Linked DNA regions of Astyanax mexicanus. The protein of the gene in region 3 interacts with the protein of the main gene of each other region in a pairwise test. Links are inferred from orthologs where the notes say so. Each region holds a gene or a part of one and is shown on either strand. Other genes may lie near its edges.

Evidence for each region.
Region 1: the proteins of fip1l1b (region 3) and prmt2 interact in a two-hybrid assay, tested with the Homo sapiens proteins (2 studies listed by BioGRID and IntAct). The link is inferred for Astyanax mexicanus from reciprocal best matches to the Homo sapiens genes FIP1L1 and PRMT2.
Region 2: the proteins of fip1l1b (region 3) and cpsf4 interact in binary tests that used the Homo sapiens proteins (3 or more experiments, as listed by UniProt). The two-hybrid records come from large-scale screens. The link is inferred for Astyanax mexicanus from reciprocal best matches to the Homo sapiens genes FIP1L1 and CPSF4.

Annotation. Positions count from the first base shown.
Region 1 is NC_064418.1:45,908,456-45,915,804, forward strand, and holds the start of prmt2 (protein arginine N-methyltransferase 2), read left to right. Parts: upstream 1-4,333; 5' UTR 4,334-4,467; coding exon 4,468-4,554; intron 4,555-6,010; coding exon 6,011-6,187; intron 6,188-6,823; coding exon 6,824-6,985; intron 6,986-7,349. UniProt on the Homo sapiens protein: Arginine methyltransferase that methylates the guanidino nitrogens of arginyl residues in proteins such as STAT3, FBL, histone H4. Acts as a coactivator (with NCOA2) of the androgen receptor (AR)-mediated transactivation.
Region 2 is NC_064410.1:54,223,787-54,231,015, forward strand, and holds the start of cpsf4 (cleavage and polyadenylation specificity factor subunit 4), read left to right. Parts: upstream 1-4,171; 5' UTR 4,172-4,721; coding exon 4,722-4,824; intron 4,825-6,310; coding exon 6,311-6,361; intron 6,362-6,444; coding exon 6,445-6,597; intron 6,598-6,992; coding exon 6,993-7,088; intron 7,089-7,229. Other genes in the region: protein BUD31 homolog, read left to right, coding at 1-1, 1,008-1,130, 2,514-2,680, 2,844-2,894. UniProt on the Homo sapiens protein: Component of the cleavage and polyadenylation specificity factor (CPSF) complex that play a key role in pre-mRNA 3'-end formation, recognizing the AAUAAA signal sequence and interacting with poly(A) polymerase and other factors to bring about cleavage and poly(A) addition.
Region 3 is NC_064432.1:5,939,722-5,947,616, reverse strand, and holds the start of fip1l1b (pre-mRNA 3'-end-processing factor FIP1), read left to right. Parts: upstream 1-4,855; 5' UTR 4,856-5,044; coding exon 5,045-5,129; intron 5,130-6,456; coding exon 6,457-6,520; intron 6,521-7,221; coding exon 7,222-7,282; intron 7,283-7,460; coding exon 7,461-7,567; intron 7,568-7,799; coding exon 7,800-7,864; intron 7,865-7,895. Other genes in the region: tspan5b (tetraspanin-5), read right to left, coding at 355-525, 1,857-2,003, 2,347-2,397, 3,198-3,278.

The DNA.
Region 1 (7,349 bases), on a different chromosome or scaffold from region 3:
AATCCTGATTTTATAGATTTATACCTCGTGTGTGAATTTAATTTAATGTAATTTGTAGGGCTGGCCCGAATAGCGTTTTTTGAGCTCCGGATATTCGGCACTGATTCGAAGCGAATATTCGAATATTCGTTTTTAAAAAAAGAGGTAAAACAAATAAATAAAAAAAAAGCAAATCACGGCCCCTTTAATCCACTGAAAAATGTTCAATTTGCTCTGACCGACGAGACCCCGGATTTTTGGTGTTTTTATCCCCCATATTTTTGTGTTTTCACCCCATATTTTTTCTGTGTTTTTAGCCCAGATTTCATTGTGTTTTCATCCCGGAATTTCTGCTGCCCCACACCGCGGCTTATCCGCTGCGTAAGCAGGCTAGGAGGCTGCTGCTGCACGGTTTCTCCGCTGCGCAAGCCAGCCCAGTAAATTGCTGTTTGTGTTTTCACACTTAGGCTATTTGCTTAAAAAAACAAACAAAAAAAACGTTTGTTCAGGAAGTATTTTATATTCTTAAACATTGTTAATTATATTAGAGGACAGTCATTGTAAACTGTACTTGGTCTATTTCGGTTAAAGGATTGTGCAGGGCATATTACTGATTTTGTATTTTTGCACTTGGGCTATAAGCTCAATATTAAATATTTTGTTTGTTTAGAAATTATTTTATATTTTTAAACCATGTTAAATTATATTAGAGTAGAGGAAAGTCATTGTTAATGACGTTATTGTACTTGGTCTATTTCGGTTTAAGCATTGTGCAGGGCATAGCCGTATTACTGATTTTGTATTTTTGCACTTGGGCTATAAGCTCAATATTAAATATTTCGTTTGCTTAGAAATTATTTTATATTTTTAAACCATTTTAAATTATATTAGATAAGAGGAAATTCGTTCAGACATCATTTTTGTAGGCCAGGCTTTTGTAACCGATTTAGCCCCTACTGTTGCCACATTACCTCTTACGTTTTATTATATAAATCAGTTTCGAAGAGCCTGCATTTTTTTTTATCATGTATAATAGAGGTCTGCGCGAGACTGATTTTTAAACCCACTCTTCCACGCTCCCGCGTTTCTGTCTCGTTACCGCTCCGCAAAAAAATTGCTTCTTTTAATCCCGCGCCCGCCCGCCACATACACATTTCTGCCGCTCCCGCCCCACGTTCCTAATATAAATTAAATAAACTACATTTAATGCTTCAAATCTACTTATATATTTATTAAAACAGCAGCGCTGAATAGTGTGGTCCCGTTCCTTACCCCAGTCCAAACACCATCGGTGTGTGCGTGTGTGTGTCGGTCCATCCTGCGCGTTGAGAGTTTTCTTTAGGTTTTTTTTTTTTTTTTACAATTATTACAGTTTTCTTAACTATTTATTAATTTGCTCCCGCATCGTCTGGATTAAACCCCCGCTCCAGCCAATAACAGTTCAGCTCTGTCCCGCGCGCAAGATATTCTGACGGGACCCGCGAAAACAGAAGTGGTTAGAGTGAGGTGGAACTCTGGAAAGGAGAAAAAAAACGAATATCCGAATACCAAAATTAAAAACCGAATACCTACTCAACGAACGAATATCCGAATACCCGAATATTCGGGTCCAGCCCTAGTAATTTGAACATTTTTTTGTCTGTTTGTGATTGGTTTATGTGTATCGTGTGTGATACTACATAAAGAAAATGAGTTCCAGTCCTAAAATAGCTTTGCCAGTTTGTTTAAGTAATTTTATGGGATGCAATAGATAATAAAAAATAAAAGGGAAAAATAAATCAAAGTTCAAAAGTTTTCAAAGAGAAGCTCCAGAGTTCAACCTTGACTACTGTCTTCTGCTCAGTGTTTTATACCAAATCTATCAGATCTCAGCACACAGTTCTACTAAACACGTGTGAGAGTTAAGCTTCTAGGTCGCCTTACCCTCTTACAGCAGCCTGTTTTAAAATTAAAACCGGCTCTGTGTGTTTTTGTCCATTAAACTTGCACAGACAGCACTCTGGAACTCACACACATCTCCAATAGACAACAAATCACTGATTTAATATACAGAAACTATACTGATTCCACTGAAAAGGCCTTAAAGGAGAACTCTGGTGTAAAATAGAATTTTGTTGTAGTAAAACATGATAAAAAGTACTTATCTTTGATGAATAGCACACCTCCGTTCTCCCACAGCGTTCTGAGATCCAGAAATTTTAACAGTTTGTCCAAACACCCTTTAGACTGGGTGATCAGGGGCATAATTTGCCCCGATAACTCGCTTTTTACACCGTTATCCAGCTCAAAGTAGCTCCACACCTCCTTGCTAGAATCCAGAGAGCCCTGACATTTGAAACGAGACATTAATAACTTAAAAAGTGCACAAGAAGCTAATTAAAAACTTTTATAAAGCTTTTAGCTCTGAGCGCCTCCATCACTGTACTGATAAACATAGATATACATAGACTCCACATAGCATAGCAGCCAGCGCCATTGGGCAGGCTATGCGAAGTCTATGTGTGTATATATATATACAGTATATATATATATATATATATATATATATATATATATATATATATATATATATATATATATATATATATATATATATTTATGTTATTAGCGCAGATGGATTCTTACCCATGGTTAAATATGAATCACCCAAAGAAAAGGAACCAGAGATCATGCTAATACTGGATAAATACTGGATAATATATTGATTATGCTAAATTGCTAATTGATTCAGGTAAAATACCGATTATTCATTTAATTGACAATTGAACATAATAAACTATAAAAAACTCCATATTCTTTTAAATTGATCTAGTGGTATTTTCTAATCTTTAACATTTTTTTTTTTTTTTTTGAAGAATATATTTTCAGAACCTGTTGAGTTGTGACGGATCTCTGTTCAGTGAAAAAATAAAATTTAGTTGTAATATTTTAAGGGTTGTTTGTTTGTGTGTCATTGAGTTTGTTATCAAGTCTGTCCACCCATTCAGAATTTATGTAATATACTTCATGAAAATACATTTTAAATATACTTTCACTGTATTTCCATAAATGTATTTTAAGCAAATATATGTAGTGACATTAAAAACCGATTAAACACTGCGTTACTTAAATCTTCTTAAGTTTGTAGAAGCTTTTATGTTGTATTTAAATATAGCTTAATTACAACTAACATATACTTAAGTTGCCGTAAGTACAATTAGTATGTATTTAAGTACTTTTCCATGTTAACCATACTTTAAAAAAATACCAACTTAAAATGCACTTTTCTTTTACAAGGGTAAGTGCATTTTTCTTGCAAATAAAAGTAACATATCTGCTATTTATTTATTAAAATATAGATTAAACATATTATATTGTGGAAATATATTGTAAGGCACTTAACACATATAAAACACGTAAACACCTCTTGCAGCTCTGCTGAATCATGACTAACCTTCACCCTTCATCTTATAAGATAAGAAAAGATTCTTTATTCATCCCACAGCGGGGAAATTTGCAACATTACAGCAGTGCAAAGGACAGAACAGAGGTGTCAGAAAAAATACAACAGTATAACACACAAAAATACAAGAAAACATAACTATACTGAAAAATATATATATATCTAAAATCTGGTTCTCCAGTGTGTATATTCTACAATAACCAGTGATCACAGTTATTGTACACAGGCTGACATAAATAAATGGCAAATAAATAGTACATAATTGGTGGTATTGCACATATTATTGGTGAATTTAGCTATTGCACATGGTAATTAAACAGTTTTATTGCACATAGTAAGAAAAAGTGCAAATAGTGAACTGCTGTTTACTGAGCGCAGCACCTGTTATACAGTCTGACATGTATATCATATGATACGATCACTATTATGATTTTATTTTTATTTTATTATATGTTTAAAATAAAAACACTTCAAATATCAAAATGTTTGTGTTCAGCAAACAACAACAAACTAAAACTAAAATATGAACAGCAAAATGATTTGTCCCACTAAAAACCATTACAGCCTTAAAACTATTTGTTACATGACAATCAGACTAGCTATACATAAGTTTTTTACACACCTTTTCTCATTCAATGTGTTTTCTTAGGGTTTGTTTAAATTATTTTTTACATTGTAATTTTAATATTAAAGACTATATTAAAGCTATACAGGAACATGCAAAATTAATGTGGAGGACTAAACACATTTTTACTGTTTACTACGTAGTTTAATATGTGTCTCTTAATTGTTTTCATGTCTTTAATATTAATCTAAAATATAGAATTAAATGAAAATATTTAATTTAATATGTTTATTCTGGGTGCTGCAGTTCCGCTGCCTGCCTGTAGGGGGGAGTAAAGAGCGCGCGTGTCCGGTTCAGCTCCGCTTCCGGTTTCGGTTTCCCCTCTGTTTGGGGAGAGAGAGGTTTAATTTGTTTGTTTGTCGGTCTGTCTGTCTGTCTGCTTTTTTGTCTGTCTATCTGTCTGTCTGTCTGTCTGTTGGAAATGAATGGGGATGAAAGCGGAGAGAGTAACCCGGAGCCGGAGGAGTTTATAGCGTTAGAGGACTTTACCGGCAGCGGAGCAGAGCAGGTCTGTTACACCAGCCTCACAATTCCACCTTAAATATCTAACGCTAGCTAATGTTGCGTCTCAGCCTGTTCCACCTTAAATAGTTAGTTATAGGGACAGTTTTCCAGAGAGGGGTTCAAAGTAGTCTGGGAAAATGTTCCCTAATGTTTATATCTGGTCCTTTTCCACCTTAAATAACTAGTTAATGTTTTTTTATGTGAGACTGTTCCACCTTAAATATAACTATTGATTGTAATTGAGGCTGTAATAAAATCTGTCTTAGCGTTTCGCGTTTCTCTTTCGCGTTAAATATCTAGCTATGTTTAGCTAGCTAATCTGAAGCTTTTCCACCTTAACTGATGTTTTTTAATCTGAGACTGTTCCCCCTTAAATAGTTATGGGGCAGTTTCCATGGAGGGGTTCAGTTCAATCTGGTAACCTTTTCCACCTTAACTTACTAACGTTTATATCTGAAACTGTTCCACCTTAAAAATCTAATTAATGTTTACATCTGGAGCTTTTCCACCTTAACTGACTAACTAAATTGTTTTATACGAAACTGTTCCACCTTAAAATGTAACTAATGTTTATATCAGAAGCTTTTCCACCTTAACTAATGTTTATATCTGAAGCTTTCCCACTTTAAATAATGTTTATATCTGAGACTGTTCCACCCTAAATGACGCTATATGTCTTAGACTGTTCCACAGTTTGAGACTGTTTCACCTTAAATATCTAAATAATATTTATATCTGAATCTTTTGTGAGGCTTCCACCTTAAATATCTAGCGAATGTTTATAACTCAGACTGTTCTACCATAAATATCTATATAATATTTACATCTGTGGATTTTCCACACTAATTAATGCTTATATCCTGACTGTTCCACCTTAAATATCTATTTACCATTTACATCTGAAGCTTTTGCACAGTAATTAACGTTTATATATAAACGGTTCCACCTGAAGTATCTATATAATATTTATATCTGAATATTTTGTGACGCCTCCACCTTAAATATCTAGCGAATTTTAATATATCTCAGACTGTTCCACCTTAAATATCTATATAATATTTATATCTGAAGCGTTTCCACACTAAATAATAGACTTTTATGTATACTGTTCCACCTTAAATATCGACACAATATTTATATCTGAAGCGTTTCCACACTAAATAATAGACTTTTATGTATACTGTTCCACCTTAAATATCTATACAATATTTATATCTGAAGCTTTTCCACACTAACTAATTAATGCTTAATCTAGGCTGTTCCCCCTTTAATATCTAGCTAATGTTTACGTCTGAAGCTTTTTCACATTAACTAAATATTTGAGACTCTTCCACCTTAAAAAATCTACCCCAATATTTCCAAAGGTATTTAGACAACACTTCATATGGGTGTGCTCAACTACTAATTTTAGGTGTTCTGAATGTGTGAAAGTGTTACTCTGACTCTGGATCTCCTCACAGCTCAGTTTTGCAGTTGGAGACCGGATCCTGATCCATGATCAGAGCTGTGCTGATTGGTGGTGGGCGGAGGTGGAGGGCCGTTATGGGTATGTACCCTCCGGCTACCTGCACCACCCGGATGCTGAGGTGGAGGACGGCTGGCAGGATGAGGAGTATTTTGGAAGTTATGGAACTTTGGTAAGTGTTTGACTTTTGGGGAGTGTCCTGTTTTATTATGGTGTTTGGTATTAAAGTGATAGTTTGGTAAGAAATCATTTTACCATTAAACAATATGGCTGCCTTAAAGTTGTGTTGGAAATATCGTATTTACGAGAAAAGCACACATGATCTTCTCCACCGACTTGAATTTAACTGTAGGAAACTCATTGCAGTCTATTTTATAAAGATGTACATTAAATCACACATAAAGGAATCATTTGCGTACATGCTGCTGATACTTAAGATATATATATTTTATTTTAGCCAGTGCCCTAATTTCCGACTGTTACTGTATATGGTTATTCTTTGTATGTCCTCGATTATTTATTTATTCTTCTTTTACAATGACACTTTAAGAACAACCTTAAATTTGGTAAAACGCTCAATCTGAAGGAACTTTAAAACTGAGAAATTTCTTTAAAATAAAGAAGAATGTAAAAATTTCACAAAAACAACGTTTTTTAGGACAAAAATTCGTCCTAAAGGTGAAAGTGTCATAAACTGAATTGTACAATCCAGGAATGTTAAAGAATCGTCTCCACAGAGCTCTCCAGACTTCCTCTGAACGTTATCTGTGTTTTCGGCCAATTCTGCCTCCCTGTTTTGTGTCTATAGAAACTTCACCTGGAGATGCTGTCGGACAGACCACGTACAGAGACGTACCGGCAGGTCATCCTGAGCAACAGCACCGCCCTGAGGGGGAAAGTGGTGATGGATCTGGGCTGCGGCACCGGCATCATCAGTCTGTTCTGTGGGCGTCTAGCAGAACCTGCAGCGGTAAATACGTACACAGCAGGACATTAACACACAGGAACGTTATCAGAAATCAATATTTGGTGGAATAATAAACTGTTTTTATTCACAGTTTTCATGCATCTTGGCATGTTCTCCTCCACCAGTCTTACACACTGCTTTTGGATAACTTGCCTTTATTCCTGGTGCAAAAAATTAAGCAGTTCAGTTTGGTTTGATTGCTTGTGATCGTCCATAAACGTAGCAAAACAAAACAAAACAAAAAGCCCATTATATTATTTTTCCTCTGTCTGATCACAGTTTTATCATCACTTTTATGATAAACACAATAGATAATAATTATAAGAGAATAATATATAATATAATAATAATAATAATATATATTCAT
Region 2 (7,229 bases), on a different chromosome or scaffold from region 3:
GGTGAGTTCAGACCCGACGCCAGTATTTTTAGCCAACAAGCTAAAGCTAACTGTACTACTACTGCTGCTGTTCGGGGTTTGTTTGTTTAACTTCTTAACTTTGTCTTTGTTTAACTACTGTTTAAAGAACGTTTATAGATAATGTTACATACAATCGGCGATATTCAACCCTTTCAGACCCTATATCCATTGTTGTCCTTCAGAATAGACCATGAACGAGATTATAAAGCAATGAAACAGTAGCTTGGCCCCATCCACTGCAGACTAGAAAAACAGTGGTTCTAAAGCCAATGAGTGAAAGTAACAGCTAGTTTTTAGTAATTTGATGTGATTTACACCAATATTTAACCATGTTCTTTTTGGTTTATGAAATAAAAAAATAAATGTTACACACGTTTTAGATTTTAGTTAATTGAATTTATTTGCTATGCAGCTTCTATTGTAAAATATTAGAGCTTTCTTTTCTGTGTATTACAGCATTCTTATATATTTTTTTTCCATCACTGGAGATAATTCAGGTCCGAAAGGGCTAAAGAACTGCAAGTAAAGGAAAATGATTCTGGTGATGGTTCTGGGCACTTATGGTGACATAATGTAATATATATATATATATATATATATATATATATATATATATATATATATATATATATGTGTATATATATATATGTGTATATATATATATATATATATATATATATATATATATATATATATATATATGAAAAAACCATGTGGAGCATTTTCATCTCATTTTATCTTATTCTCACACCAAAGTTGTGGTCATGCTTCAGGCTCTCATTCCCACATCTTAAAAAGTTGTGGCCATGCTTTATTCTTTTTTGCATGATGTCACTTTAGGTGCAAAGGAAAAAATAAATAAATCGAATACAGAAAGGGGGGGGGGGGGGGTGGGGTTATCTGTTAATCTCTTGTTCCCTCATTTTAGGTTACTGCCTTCAATTCATCCTGAACATGCTGCTAAACATTTTGCCTTCAATCCACAGCTGAAACTGAGCCTCATGAGGGAAAACGTAAAGTGGAGTCTCTGTGGCCGATTTTCAGACTTCACCACCAGCGGAGCCGCTATATCTTCGACCTGTTCTACAAAAGAAAGGCCATCAGTAGAGGTGAGTTCAGTATAGATATCCAGTTTACCAATTTATAGTCCCGGTATAATTATAATGATATTATGATACTTTCCTTTGTGTCACTAGTTAATAACAGTCTGGTATTACAGTTAACAGTAGCAAACCTCTTCATAGACAATAGATAAATAATATGTGCATACCCTCTCATTCAATGTTTTTATTTAATTTATTGATTTATTATTATTTTGCTTACATTGTAAATTAATACCGAAGTCATCCAAAGGAAGGAACACACAAGGAATCATATGGTAGACGTAAGTGTTTAAAAAAAAAAAAAACAATGAACCAAAATACAATTTTATCATGATATTTTTGGTGGTCTTTGCAACTGCACTGGTGATACTTTCAAAGTAAAAAAATCAGTGACTTTGATTTCTAAAAGTGTTTTTTTCTTTGCCTAGTTGAGTATTTCTTGCCATAGGATGGATTAGAACATTACTCAAATAGCGCTATTCACTGTTTATCAACTCTACCTCTTCACAACTTTACAACTGATGCTTTCAAACACATTAATTCAAGTAATTAACTTTTAAGTTCAGCACAGCTGTTAACTGAAAGCCGTCCCAGGTGACTCTACCTCATAAAGAGAAAATCCAACAAAGATGTGTAAATCGGTCATTTAAACAAGGTGGTACTTTGAAGAATCTAAAATATAAAACATATTCTGGTTTGTTTAACACTTTAGTGTACCAAATCTTTCATGTTTTTCTTTATAGTTTGGATGACTTTAGAATTAATCTACAATGCAGAACATTTTTAAATAATGAAAAAATCCTGAATTGATTTTGACTATTTGACTGAACTGATTTGACCAGCAATGTACATACATAGATACATGCATAGATACTTTATTGATCCTGAAATAAATGTAGCAGCCAGTACCATTGACACAAAACGGCACACAACAATAAGGGTGGTGCAGTATAACAAAATGAGTACAATTATTAGCTCTAGATGGTATAGCTATACATCTCACTTGTTGCAATAAGGCACGAACAAATTACAAATTACAATTATTAGCTTATTATGAACAGTGCGGGAATATAAACAAGAAAAATACTGCCTCCAAATATACACGTGTAGACAATAAATAGAAAATATGTTAAAATATGCATTCGAATCTTACTGGAACTAAACAGACACTGCAGTGATAAGTAAAACAATGTGCAAGAGGTCTAGGTATCGGCAGATAAAGGGAATACTGGATAAAAATATGCATATATTGTAAAGTGGCTAGTGTTCAGGAGTGCAGGTGTACAGTAAAGTGTCAATAGTGCAGATAAAAAAAACGTATGATTAGCAGTACACTAAAAGGTTATATATTGATGTTGAAGTAAAAGTGTTTCTGTATTGTGTGCCCAGAGCTGTATGAATACTGCATAAGAGAGGGATACGCCGACAAAAACCTCATAGCAAAGTGGAAGAAACAGGGCTACGAAAACCTCTGCTGCCTTCGCTGCATTCAGACACGTGACACCAACTTCGGCACAAACTGCATATGTCGAGTTCCTAAAGGAAAACTCGAAGTGGTAAGTTAGTACGGTACAATTTTGATGTTGCTTTTAATGAGCTGCTGATTTTAGTTTTCATGTCATTAATATCCCTTTTACTATTATAAACCAACATCATGTTTAATAAAGCCTACAGCCCATTTCTAATAGTCTAATAGATTTCTCAATTTATTCCAAACAGGGTCGGATCATTGAGTGCACTCACTGTGGGTGCAGAGGATGCTCCGGATAATCAAGGGCTTGTATTTCATTTCTGGGATGTTGGGGCTCAAAACATTTTGATTTCTTTGATTTTAAAAGTGTCTGCTTGCTTTCATTCCGGATTGTCTGTAAGTGAATGTAGAAATGTTCATCATTTGTGTATTTTGTGAAAATGTCATTTTTATTCAAATTACCTTCAAAAACCTTTAAAATGTGCTCTTTACTTTGTTCATTTTGTAAAATAAAATCCTTGTTGTAAATGTTTGTGCTTTTTTTGTAACATTTTATAAAGAATTACATATACTGTTGAATTGTCAATTACATGAACATTTAACTATTTACCAGTCATCAGTACAATGAAACATGAATACAAAATACATTAATTAACTTCTATAGGAACTGTCTTTTTTAAAATGTCAGCATGAAGATTAAAGTTTAGAAAAAAATTTATATAAATTCATAATTTTCCATCTTATTATAACTACTTCCAGCATAATGATGAACCATGCCATAAGGAAAAGTCTTTCTAACTGGTTTAGTGGACAAGACAATACGTTCTGTGTTGTTATGTGGCTCTCTAGTGGGGGTTAAATTTATTTTTGCTGGTCATCTGATTGGAATCCATCAGCATCTCTGTGTTTGGTAAAACAGGAGATCCCCAGCATGAATGTATTCCTAAAGAATCAAAATGCAAAAGGACACAATATGATGTTTTTTTAAAAGTAAAAATTTTAAAGCACAGGAATTAACGTTATTTTCTATTTGATTTTAACATATTAAACACATTTACCATTTACTTTTTGCACAGGCAACATTTAATGTTTTGTAGTATGTCAAAGCAGCAGTAGCAGATTATTTTCCTTTTAAAAATATAAAATATAAAGAAATCTATTTTCAATTCAGTTTTATTGTCAATACTGCACATGTACAGAACATACAGAGGATTGAAATACATTACTCTTCTTCCCAAAGCTACAAGTACAGCAATATAAAAATTTAGACATAAAAGAATAGTATATATATAGCTAACGATTTTTTAATTCATTAATATTTTCTTTATTTTACTTACTTAACTAAAAACGTGGTTTATAAGGTCAAATCGCTTTTTTGGAAAAAGACTTTTGTGCTGCTTTGGTTTAAACAACGTGGATCTTGGGGTCCGTCCCAAACCACACTCTCTTAAGATTCTCTAAGCTGCTTAATGTTCTATACTAGTCGGTGCACTTCTAGGGGTGGTGCACTACTTATATAGGCTATGTAGTGCAGCTGTGTGCGGTTTAGGACAGACCCTACGTCTGTTACTGCTGCTTCCGTTAAAAGCGTTCATTGGACTGTTTAATCAATAACAGAGTATTTGGTTGGGCTATATTGCGACTGTATGGTATCCCAGCATATACATGATTTATATTAGCAAATCAAGACCCTCTTAAATACACTGTAAATTGTTTTTTTGTTGATAAAATCTTATAGAAGTGCGGTTGTTGGCGACCCGGTTCTCTGGGTTGTGCTGGGGTTGATTGAGCGGCCTGGCGGAGGAGCGGGGCTGTGAGTGTGCGCGGAGGGAGCGGAGCGAGGGGCGCTGCTGTGTTTATTAGTTAGCGGAATATTCTGATAGATAATCGCTATGGTTTATTAAACTGCTGCTCCTGAAGGAGGATTTAGGAGTTTTTACATGTTGTAGCGCTTGGTGGCTTTGGTTTAACTCCTATATCACACAGCCTTGTTGTTAAATTTGGTAGGTTTTTGCCTAGCAAGCTACGTGTAGCGTTTAGCCAGTTAGCAGGAGCTGCAGGGCTGTGTATGGGGGAGACTGTAAGTGCTGTAAGTTTGTTAAAAAGCACAAGAAAAGAGATTAAACATGCAGGAATTAATCGCCAACGTTGATCACCTCAAGTTTGATCTGGAGATCGCTGTGGAGCAGCAGCTCGGCGCTCAGCCCTTACCGTTTCCAGGGATGGACAGTAAGTTCACTGAGCCAGTTAAACAACAACGCTCAGTTCACCTGATAACTCAAGTTCAACCCCTGTCATTTACCTGCTCCCCCTCCACAGCTATATACTCTACAGCTATAGCGCATTATACTGTTATATATATTCTACACCTATATACTCTACAGCTATAGCACATTATACTGTTATATATATATTCTACACCTATATAATCTGCAGCTATAGCACATTATACTGTTATATATATTCTACACCTATATACTCTACAGCTATAGCGCATTATACTGTTATATATATTCTACACCTATATACTCTACAGCTATAGCACATTATACTGTTATATATATATTCTACACCTATATAATCTGCAGCTATAGCACATTATACTGTTATATATATTCTACACCTATATACTCTACAGCTGTAGCACATTTATACTGTTATAGACTCCAGGCCCTTACCTGCTTGCCTTCTACAGCTATATACCCAACAGTTTTAGCACATTTTACTGTTATATACTCTACACCTATATACTCTACAGCTATAGCATCTTTTACTTTTATATATTTTACAGCTATAGCACATTTATACTGTTATACACTCTACACCTAAAGTTATATACTCCAGTCCCTAACCTGCTTGCCCTCTACAACTATATACCCGACAGCTTTAGCACATTTTACTGTTATATACTCTACACCTATATACTCTACAGCTATAGCAGCTTTTACTTTTATATATTCTACAGCTATAGCAGCTTTTACTTTTATGTACTCTACACCTATATACTCTATAGCTATAGCAGCTTTTACTGTTATAGAATCTACACCTATATACTCCTGTCATTTAAATGCTCCCTCTCTACATCTAAATATTCTACAGCTAGAGCAGCTTTAACTGTTATATACTCTACACATATACAGTGAACTCATCTGTCCTTTACCTGCTCCCTCTCTACAGCTGTATACCAAACAGTTATAGCAGCTTTTATGGTTATATACTGTATAGCTATATACTCCTGTCCTTTACCTGCTTTCTCTCTACAGCTATAGCACATTATACTGTTATATACTTTACACATATATACTCCTGTCCTTTACGTGCTCCATTTACAGCTATAAAAGATTTTACTCTTATGTACACTACAGCTTTAGTAGATTTACTCATATATATTCTACAGTTTAGCAAATTTACTCTAAGATACAGATAGAGGATTATATATACCCACCAGCTATTTACTCTACAGCTATAGCCGGTTTCATACTTGTATATTTTACAGTAATATACACTGCAGCTAAAGCAGTCTGTGAAGCAATATACTGCAAAACTATAGTAGGATTAATAGCTATATACTTTGCCCAAATATGTACTCTACAGATTTATGTATGTGTATTTTATACTCCACAGCCAAACCAGTTTTATTGGTTTACCTCTCTGTCTACCTGTCTGATTGTGTATATAGTTTTGTTCTACTGTAACTCTGTGTTTCTCTGTACAGAGTCCGGTGCCGCTGTGTGTGAATTTTTCATGAAAGCTGCTTGTCTGAAAGGTAAGTGGTAGTTTATTTATAAAAATAACCCAAAAGCTTTTTTGGGGCAGCTTGGACATAATTAATCTGTGTTACTTTTGCAGGTGGAATGTGTCCTTTTCGGCACATCAGTGGAGAAAAGACAGTTGTGTGTAAACACTGGCTGCGAGGTTTATGCAAGAAAGGGGACCAGTGTGAATTTTTACATGAGTATGACATGACGAAGATGCCAGAGTGCTATTTCTACTCCAAATTTGGTAAAAAAAAAATCTTAACATATGGTTACTTGAAAATGTACTCACAAATTGTTTTTTTGTTGTAGCACATTTATACTGTTATACACTCTACACCTATATACCCGACAGCTTTAGCATGTTTTACTGTTATATACTCTACACCTATATACTCTACAGCTATAGCAGCTTTTACTTTTATAAACTCTGCACCTATATACTCTATAGCTATAGCAGCTTTTACTGTTATAGAATCTACACCTAAATACTACTGTCATTTAAAAGCTTTAAAAGCAGTCTGTTTATAAGAAAGTATGATGATGAGGCTATGATACAGATTTAATCTGGGCTTTTATGGATATATGTTTTAGCTTATGTGATTTGTTATTGTTTTGAAATGTGTTATTTATATTTGACAGGTGAGTGCAGTAATAAAGAATGCCCCTTCTTGCACATTGACCCAGAATCTAAGATTAAAGACTGTCCATGGTATGATCGGGGATTCTGCAAACATGGTAAGTCTGTGTACTCTAGTGGACATACATCAGGGGGTCCCGGAGGTTCAGTGTTTGGCACAGTTTGTGATTCTCCTTCTCAATCACAGATGATTTATCTTGTGTCTTAATGCCAATCTATGTTGTATGTTAATGTCATCT
Region 3 (7,895 bases):
TCCTTCTCCTATCAACTTGCTGCTTTGGAGATATGAGGTTTTGTATCATCGATTGGGATGATTGACAGTATTTATATGTAATAGCAGTGCAATGTAATCCCATGTAATCCCATTATAATTAGTAATATTTTTTTTCTTTTAGCAGCTCTTCATTAATTTTACCACTTTTTTTAGCATTGCATAAATAACAAAACTAAATGTATTTCCTTCTGATTTCTCCACTAAACATAATTTGTATAGTAAAAACTATTTGGTACATTTATTTTGCCATTTTTGGCCGAACAAATTTGATTGGTGAATGTTCTGTGCATCCCTAATAACAAAAATATGCCCCATGAATAAGCATATTCTTACGTATTCCTGTGTAAAATCTATGAGGTTCTGCAGGTCGATGTCATCTCTGTAGGCTCTGATGTTGTTGTTGATGAAGAACTTGAGCTGGTCCTTGATCCAGTCTTTAAAGACGAAGGCCAGAACTCCAGTGGTCAGCTCCAGGAAAAATATTATCCCCAGGAATACGGAAAACTGGAGGAGGCGAAGAAAAAAATGTTAAGAAAATGAAGGAAAGAATCTGAATAACAGTCATGAAAAGCCAGTAAACCCTATGAAAAACTTTTGCTTAGGTTTGCCATATTTTTCGCACTATAAGGCTCACTTAAATTCCTTTTATTTTCCCAAAAAATCTAATGGACAGTGTGCCTTATAATCCGGTGCACCTTATGTATACATTTTACTATTTAGGTATTAAGGAGCAGTAAAGCACCTCTGCTGAAGTGCAGCGTTATAAGCACAGAGCACATAGTTTCTCAGAGTATAAAGTTTCTCCAGCACTAAGGCTGAGTGCAGCAGCTTTAGCATTAGCCGCTAAACCGCAGTGCTAGCTCTTTCGCAGTTCAGAGGCGAGTATATTGGAGTGTAGTCTGCGTGTTTGCCATGTTAAAACAAGCTATGTGGGACGAACCGGCAGTATTTAAAACCTGCTAGCACTGCGGTTAGCGGCTAACGCTAGTGCCGCTGCACCCAGCCTTAGTGCTGGAGAAGCTTCACTGAAAACTCTCCCTTATACTAATTTTGAAAGTCTAAACTTACTGTTAATAAACGGAAACGCTTTACTCACCCAAATAAACAGCTTTAAGGAAAGAAATCTGTATAGATTAACATCCAGCACTCGTTTGACTTCAAACGAAAAGTCTTTTTTTTTTTTTTTTATAAAAATTACAGTTTTGTTCACTTTGGCGTTTCCCCCAGTTTCAACATTCGAAGAAGGATTTTGGAGTAGTCTGTCCAGATTAATAGGTGATCCGAAATAATATTTAAATTGGACAGACTCCTCCAAAATCCTCTCTAACGAATACAATGGTATTGCGATATGCAGGTTCATTATTGATATGATCAATATGTGGCATCAAATACCGATATTTGTATTGAAACATAGGCCCTTTAAACTTCCTAAGACTAGTCCGCTAGTTTGACTTAGTAAAGTCAAACTACATATTACTCCATGTGGTGGCGCTAAGATCAAACGAATAGTCTAAACCTGCAGTAAGGAATATTGGTTGCTAAATTTTATGAAACCGACACCAAAAGATGTTGTGAAATATCATAGAGAATTGTCTTTAAATATACTGAGAATCACAGTATTGTGAAATCTTCGTTATCGTGGAAAATATACCGTGATAATATTGCATTGTTCACCCCTAAACCAGGATAAAAAAGATAAGTAAAATATTCTCCAACAGTCCTAAAATTGATTGTTTATTATGTCCAGGGGTCTGCCTATTTGTTCTCTGGCAAATGTCCTGAAATTCTACATTTGTATTGTCCACTGTACACAAAAACACAGGAAACAGACTCACAAACTTGAGCAGGAAGGAGTTTTCCCGCAGCGCTCCGATGCAGCCGGCGAACCCCAACACAAACATCACCCCTCCAACCACCAGAAACAGCCAGACAGGGTCGAACCCTCCCAGATCAGTGATGGAGGAGATGTTCGAGAGAACTCCCTGAGAGAAAGAGAGAAAAAGAGAGCGAGAGAGAGAACGAGTGAGGTGAGAGAGTCATTTTGTCTCATTTTCTGCCCAATATTGAAAGCCAATTAACCCTCTCCTCACTCATATGAACTGCCCTCTGCAGACAACTTTTAAGGAGATGTGGTTTTCATTTTCCAGCAGGACTTGGCACACTGCCAAAAATAACAATTGGTCTTATTGTTATTGGATTTTTGGGTTTTCATTGACTGTAAGCCATAATCATCAACAATAAAATAAATAAACGCTTAAAATAGATCACTCTGTGTGTAATACTGTGTGTCTATGTGTGTGTGTGTGTCTGTGTGTGTGTGTGTACCTTTTCGCTCCATGCCCATAAAGCCACGGACAAGAACGCCACCCCCAGCAGCTGAGGAGAGATTCAGCATCAGTTATAATGAGTGAACAAACACATTGCAAATGATTTATTTTATATATATATATATATATATATATATATATATATATATATATATATATATATATATAAAATAGTTAACTACATATACTACATATTTGAAGTATATAAATATATATATTTATATACTTCAAATATGTACAGTAACATGCATATATGATAAATTATAAAGAATATTATCATAATAATAATGATAATAATAATAACGTTGCAAAATAGCGCTAATCTAAGCTAATAAAAAATAAATCATGTTGTTATTATAATTAGTCACCAATACAAATAACAGTTATTACTGCTATTATTACACTGAAAAAAATGTTAATAATTGTATTAATATTTACACTGTGCAAAGGACATATTAACTTTGTAGAAATGTTTTAAGTCAGCCAATTTTATATTTGCTCATTTTTTTGTCTGATATTAAAGTTTGTTTGATAATCTGAAAAAAAAAAATTGGTATGTAAAAAAAATCTGTAGGGGGCAAAGATTTAAAACTGCATTTTAAACATGGCATTTTAACATATCTGAGTTTGTTTCAGTAAAGACAGAGTTAGAGATTGTCTGGTTTGTGAATTTTGTAAGTATTTGTGTGATTTTAAGCTAAAACCAGATCCAGATCCTCATTCTGACTGAAGCCCTGGACCCGATGAACCCGGGAGCTCTGCGAGCTCTGGAGCTGAGGGACCGGGCTGACAGACTGACAGTGCGCGCGGGGGGGGGGGAGACAGTAACACCGCGCGCCGCTCTCTCACCCAGAAGATGATGTTGAACCCGAAGATGAAGTATTTAATGCAGCACCCGACCTCGTGCACGTTAAAGTGCTTCCCGGACATCTTTACCGCGCGCTGCGTCTCTCCGAGAGATCCGCTGGAGCCGAGCCGCCGCTCCGTCGCCGCTCCGTCGCCGCTCCTCCGCTCACCCACCGCCTCCTGTCCGCCGCTCACCCGCTGCTCAGCGCCGCCACCATCGCGCCGGATTAAAGTCTGCGCCTCTAAACGCCCCGCAGGCGCTATTTAACAAAATAAACCCTCCGAGAAACGAAATACACCCGTGTCTAGAGACACGAGCTCAACCCAGCTCAACACCACAACAACGGAGCGGCGCTCCCTACCACAACCACTTAGCGACAGATCAGATCACTTCCGCCCAGCTCCATTCCTTAAATAAACTTATTTCAAAATAAAAGTCGAGTACAAGCTCTGGGTTCGCTCTAAGCGAGGATATTTACATCAAATCACATTACAATACATTACAATATAGAAGTGACCCAATTTACAAAAATTAATTTCAGAGAGGTTATCCTCGACCTGGACTTAAATCACCCCCTCCCCTGTCTAAAAAAAAAGAACTCACGCACACACCAAAGGATAACAGAACTTTATAATTTGGCTATTGCTCTGCAAAAAATAAGAGACCGCTTAAAAAATATGAAAATATCTTTGATTTTACCAAATTGAAATCCTCTGGAATATAATCAAGAGGAAGATGGATGATCACAAGCCATCAAACCAAGCTGAACTGCTTGAATTTTTGCACCAGGAGTGGCCTAAAACTATCCAAAAGCAGTGTGTAAGACTGGTGGAGGAGAACATTCCAAGAAGCATAAAAACTGGTGATTAAAAACCAGGGTTATTCCACCAAATATTGATTTCTGAACTCTTAAATCGTTATGAAGATGATGATTATTTTCTTTGCATTATTATTTAAGGTTTGAAAGAACTGAACCTTTTTCATTATTTTGTCCATCTCTTATTTTTTCCGACTTTCATGAGACTTGAGACATCTGTATATTGTATATTTTTGATAACCCCTATTTGACCACAAGGAGAGATTTATAATACATTTGGTTATAATCTTAGGTAAATAAGATACGCACAAATTGAAATTGCCCCAAAATACCTTCATTCCAAGCATTTGTTTATTTGGGTCTATATAGTTATATACATATCGTAAATTTAAATAATTAAAAAATAAAACGAATAAAAAATAAGAAGTCATAAATCCATTGAAGCTTTTAAATTTAGTTTAAATCCCACAATTTTTTATTTTGTTTTTATTTATTTTTTTGTTTTTTATGTTGTTGGATATATGATTCGCAAAATTGGTCTATTACTGTTTCTGTTTAGATTTGTTGGATAGTATTTGGTACAAAAATGATTCGGATAATGTACTCAACAGTTCCCTTAAACGTAATTATGGAGCTTTACAATCAGTCACGGTTTTTAAACCTAATATTTGTGGCTCTGCAGGAATGATAATAGAAAAAAAACATTAGTGCCATTTATTATATTTTTTCACTCCCCAATCTAATATTAATGTAATAAATAGAGGCATGAAAAAAAAACAAAACAAAGAAGCATCGATTGTTTTTAGCAAATGGACTTTTATTATGTCACACAGAGCGGAAGTTGCGTATTCAAAGGGCAGCAGTCTTCCTCCGGTTAGTGTGCGGGGTAAGACGGATCGGTTCCCCCGTTTAATCCGGTTTTGGCCTCCTCCAATCCGGTTTCTGGTCTTCTCTGATCCGGTTCCAGTGTGGTTGAGGTGTTCGGGTGAGGCTGCGCGGTCTGGGCGGTTCGGCGGGTTGAGCAGAGCTGAGATGTCCGCGGAAGAGGCGGAGAAAGCGGCCGGGCAGGAGGTGAGCGCGGCGGCGGGGGACGAGGAGGAGGAATGGCTGTACGGAGGTGAGCTCAATACTGAACACCAACACTGACTACTGAACACTCCAAAACACCCCATAATATTAAAACACTTACTCCTCAACACGCCATAACACTCTCTCCTCAACACTCACTCCTGAACACTCCATAACATTCAAACACTCACTCCATAACATTCAAACACTCACTCCGTAACATTCATTCACACCTCATAAACACTCCCTCCTAACATTCAGCCACACCATCCTCTCACACTCCGTCCTCACTAACACTTATTCACTCCCTAACACTCAGTAACACTCACTCCATAACACTCCAAAAACGTACTCCCCACTAGCACATATTCGCTCCATAACACTCTCTCCCTAATATTCAAACACTCCTTCCTCACTAATACTTATTCACTCCCTAACACTCAGTAACACTTACTCCATAACACTCCAAAGCACTCACTCCTCACTAAAACTTATTCACTCCATAACACTCATTCCTCACTAACACTTATTCACTCCCTAAAACTCAATAACACTCCCTCCAAAGCACTCCCTCCTAAGTAACACTCACTCACTAGCACTCCCTTACTAGCACTCCCTTCTAACATTCAAACACTCACTCATCACACTGGCTGACTCTGCACATACACTCGCTTTGCACGGACACTCACTCTACTCACTAACACTCACTCTGTACGGACACTCTGCAGGAACACTCACTCTACTCACAAACACTCACTCTACTCACAAACACTCACTCTACTCACAAACACTCACTCTACTCACAAACACTCACTCTACTCACAAACACTCACTCTACTCACAAACACTCACTCTACTCACACTCACTCACTCTACTCACAAACACTCACTCTGCACGAACACTTATCCACTCACTTACACTCCCTCCTAACAAACACTCAAACACTCACTCCTCACAGTAGGTGAGAGTGGTAGCCAAATAGTCCTGAATATTCTTGAAGTTTTGTAATATTTAATTAATTTTTACTTTTGTTCCAATGCACATGAATGAAAATAAACATTTTCTGGAAGAAATACTTAATTTCTCTAGAAAGAAAATATATGGATATAAAACAAAACAAATAGACCTTGCTTAAGTATTTACACTAGAACTGTTGTTTTTTTTGTATTTGATCAAATACAGTTGTGTCTCAGTATTGCAAAACTAAACAGAGTTCTGGGTTCTGGGTTAATTATGACTTCTAGACGTTATTCTACAGAAATATTACTGTATATTGTAATTTAAGTTAGTTTGCATTTATACCTTCTTAAAAGCATAAAATCATGTTATATATAAAAATGTACTGTTTAATATTGACTTGTTGGTGTTTATCCAGATGAAGGAGAAACCAAAGAAAATGAGGAGGAGGAGGTGGCGGCCAAACTGACCGCAGCAATCAGGTATTATACATACATTAGATCTGTTCACACTGTAACTGGTCTAGTTTGATTCTGTTCACATTGAAACTGGTCTAGTTTGATTCTGGTTACACTATAACTGTTGTAGTTTGTACTTGGTGGATCTGGAGTAGTTTGATTTGTATCAATGATAGTAGTGCTGGGCGGTATACCGGTCAATTAAAACGCGTACCAGAAATTAAAACCGGTATGGATTTTTTTATGTACCGCCAGACCGCTAGAGAATCGCTGTGTAGAGCAGCACCACCACCAAAGAAGCAGATACAGCTAGCTACCTAACGCTAGCCAGTTAGGACAACAACTTAACACACTTGAGTAATAGTAGCTCCGTCCTGCCCAGAGAAAAATGAGAACAGCACTTTATCTAAGGAGCACCTGCTGCTGTTTCTCACTGTATGGGTGTTTAATCTGAGTAAAATTAAAAAACTACAGCAAATATTCACTATTAATACTGTAATGCCTCTAATGGCTTCAAGAATAACACATAGTACATTGATATTAAATTTGTGTTTTACTTGTGCAATAGAGCTTTTGAGAAATATCTCTTTGATTACTTACATTTTGAGCATTTTAAGACCATTTAAAGAGTTTATGAAAATTTAAAGCATTATTCTTCTATATTATATGTACTCCTAATTTCTGCTTATACCGCCCAGCACTAAATGATCATCTACTTTTTACAGTGCTCCACCTGCCGCTCCTGTTACTGAGGAAGTCCCTGCCGGCAATGGAGTGGCTAGTCAGGTAAGAGTACATTTAAGTTATTATAATAAACTTAGGGACTGAGTTACCACTCATACAATTACAGTATTTAGAATAGAGTCATAGCTATACGATTGATGCGGTTGCCATGTCATACATGTAGTAGTCAGTTTTGTGTAGGTACTGGTGTGTAAATGATCAGTTCTGTGGCTTTTTTTAGGAGGAAGCTCCTGGAGACGATGAGGATAGTGAAAGTGACAGTGATGATGACGACGATGACGTCCGTGTTACCATCGGTGACATCAAGACAGGCGCACCGCAGTACACGTGAGTATGATGTGTTCTGTGTTACTGTAGAGAACCTGTCATCTGGGAGAAGACCAACATACTCCATTGTATGGAGTTGGACAGGTGCATCTAAAAAAAAAAATAATTTAATTGAAAAGTTACTTTTTCAGTTATTGCAGTAATTTCATTATGTTTTTTGCTCTTTTGATTGGATGTTTTTGTAGTAATGCTGTAATAAGTGCTGTATTTAAAGCTGTGGTGTCTTTTTCAGGACATACGGGGCAACACCGGTCAATCTGAACATAAAGTCTGGTGGCAGCAGGCCGTATGGAGCAGGTACAATCTGTAAATTAATAAGTCATGCTAA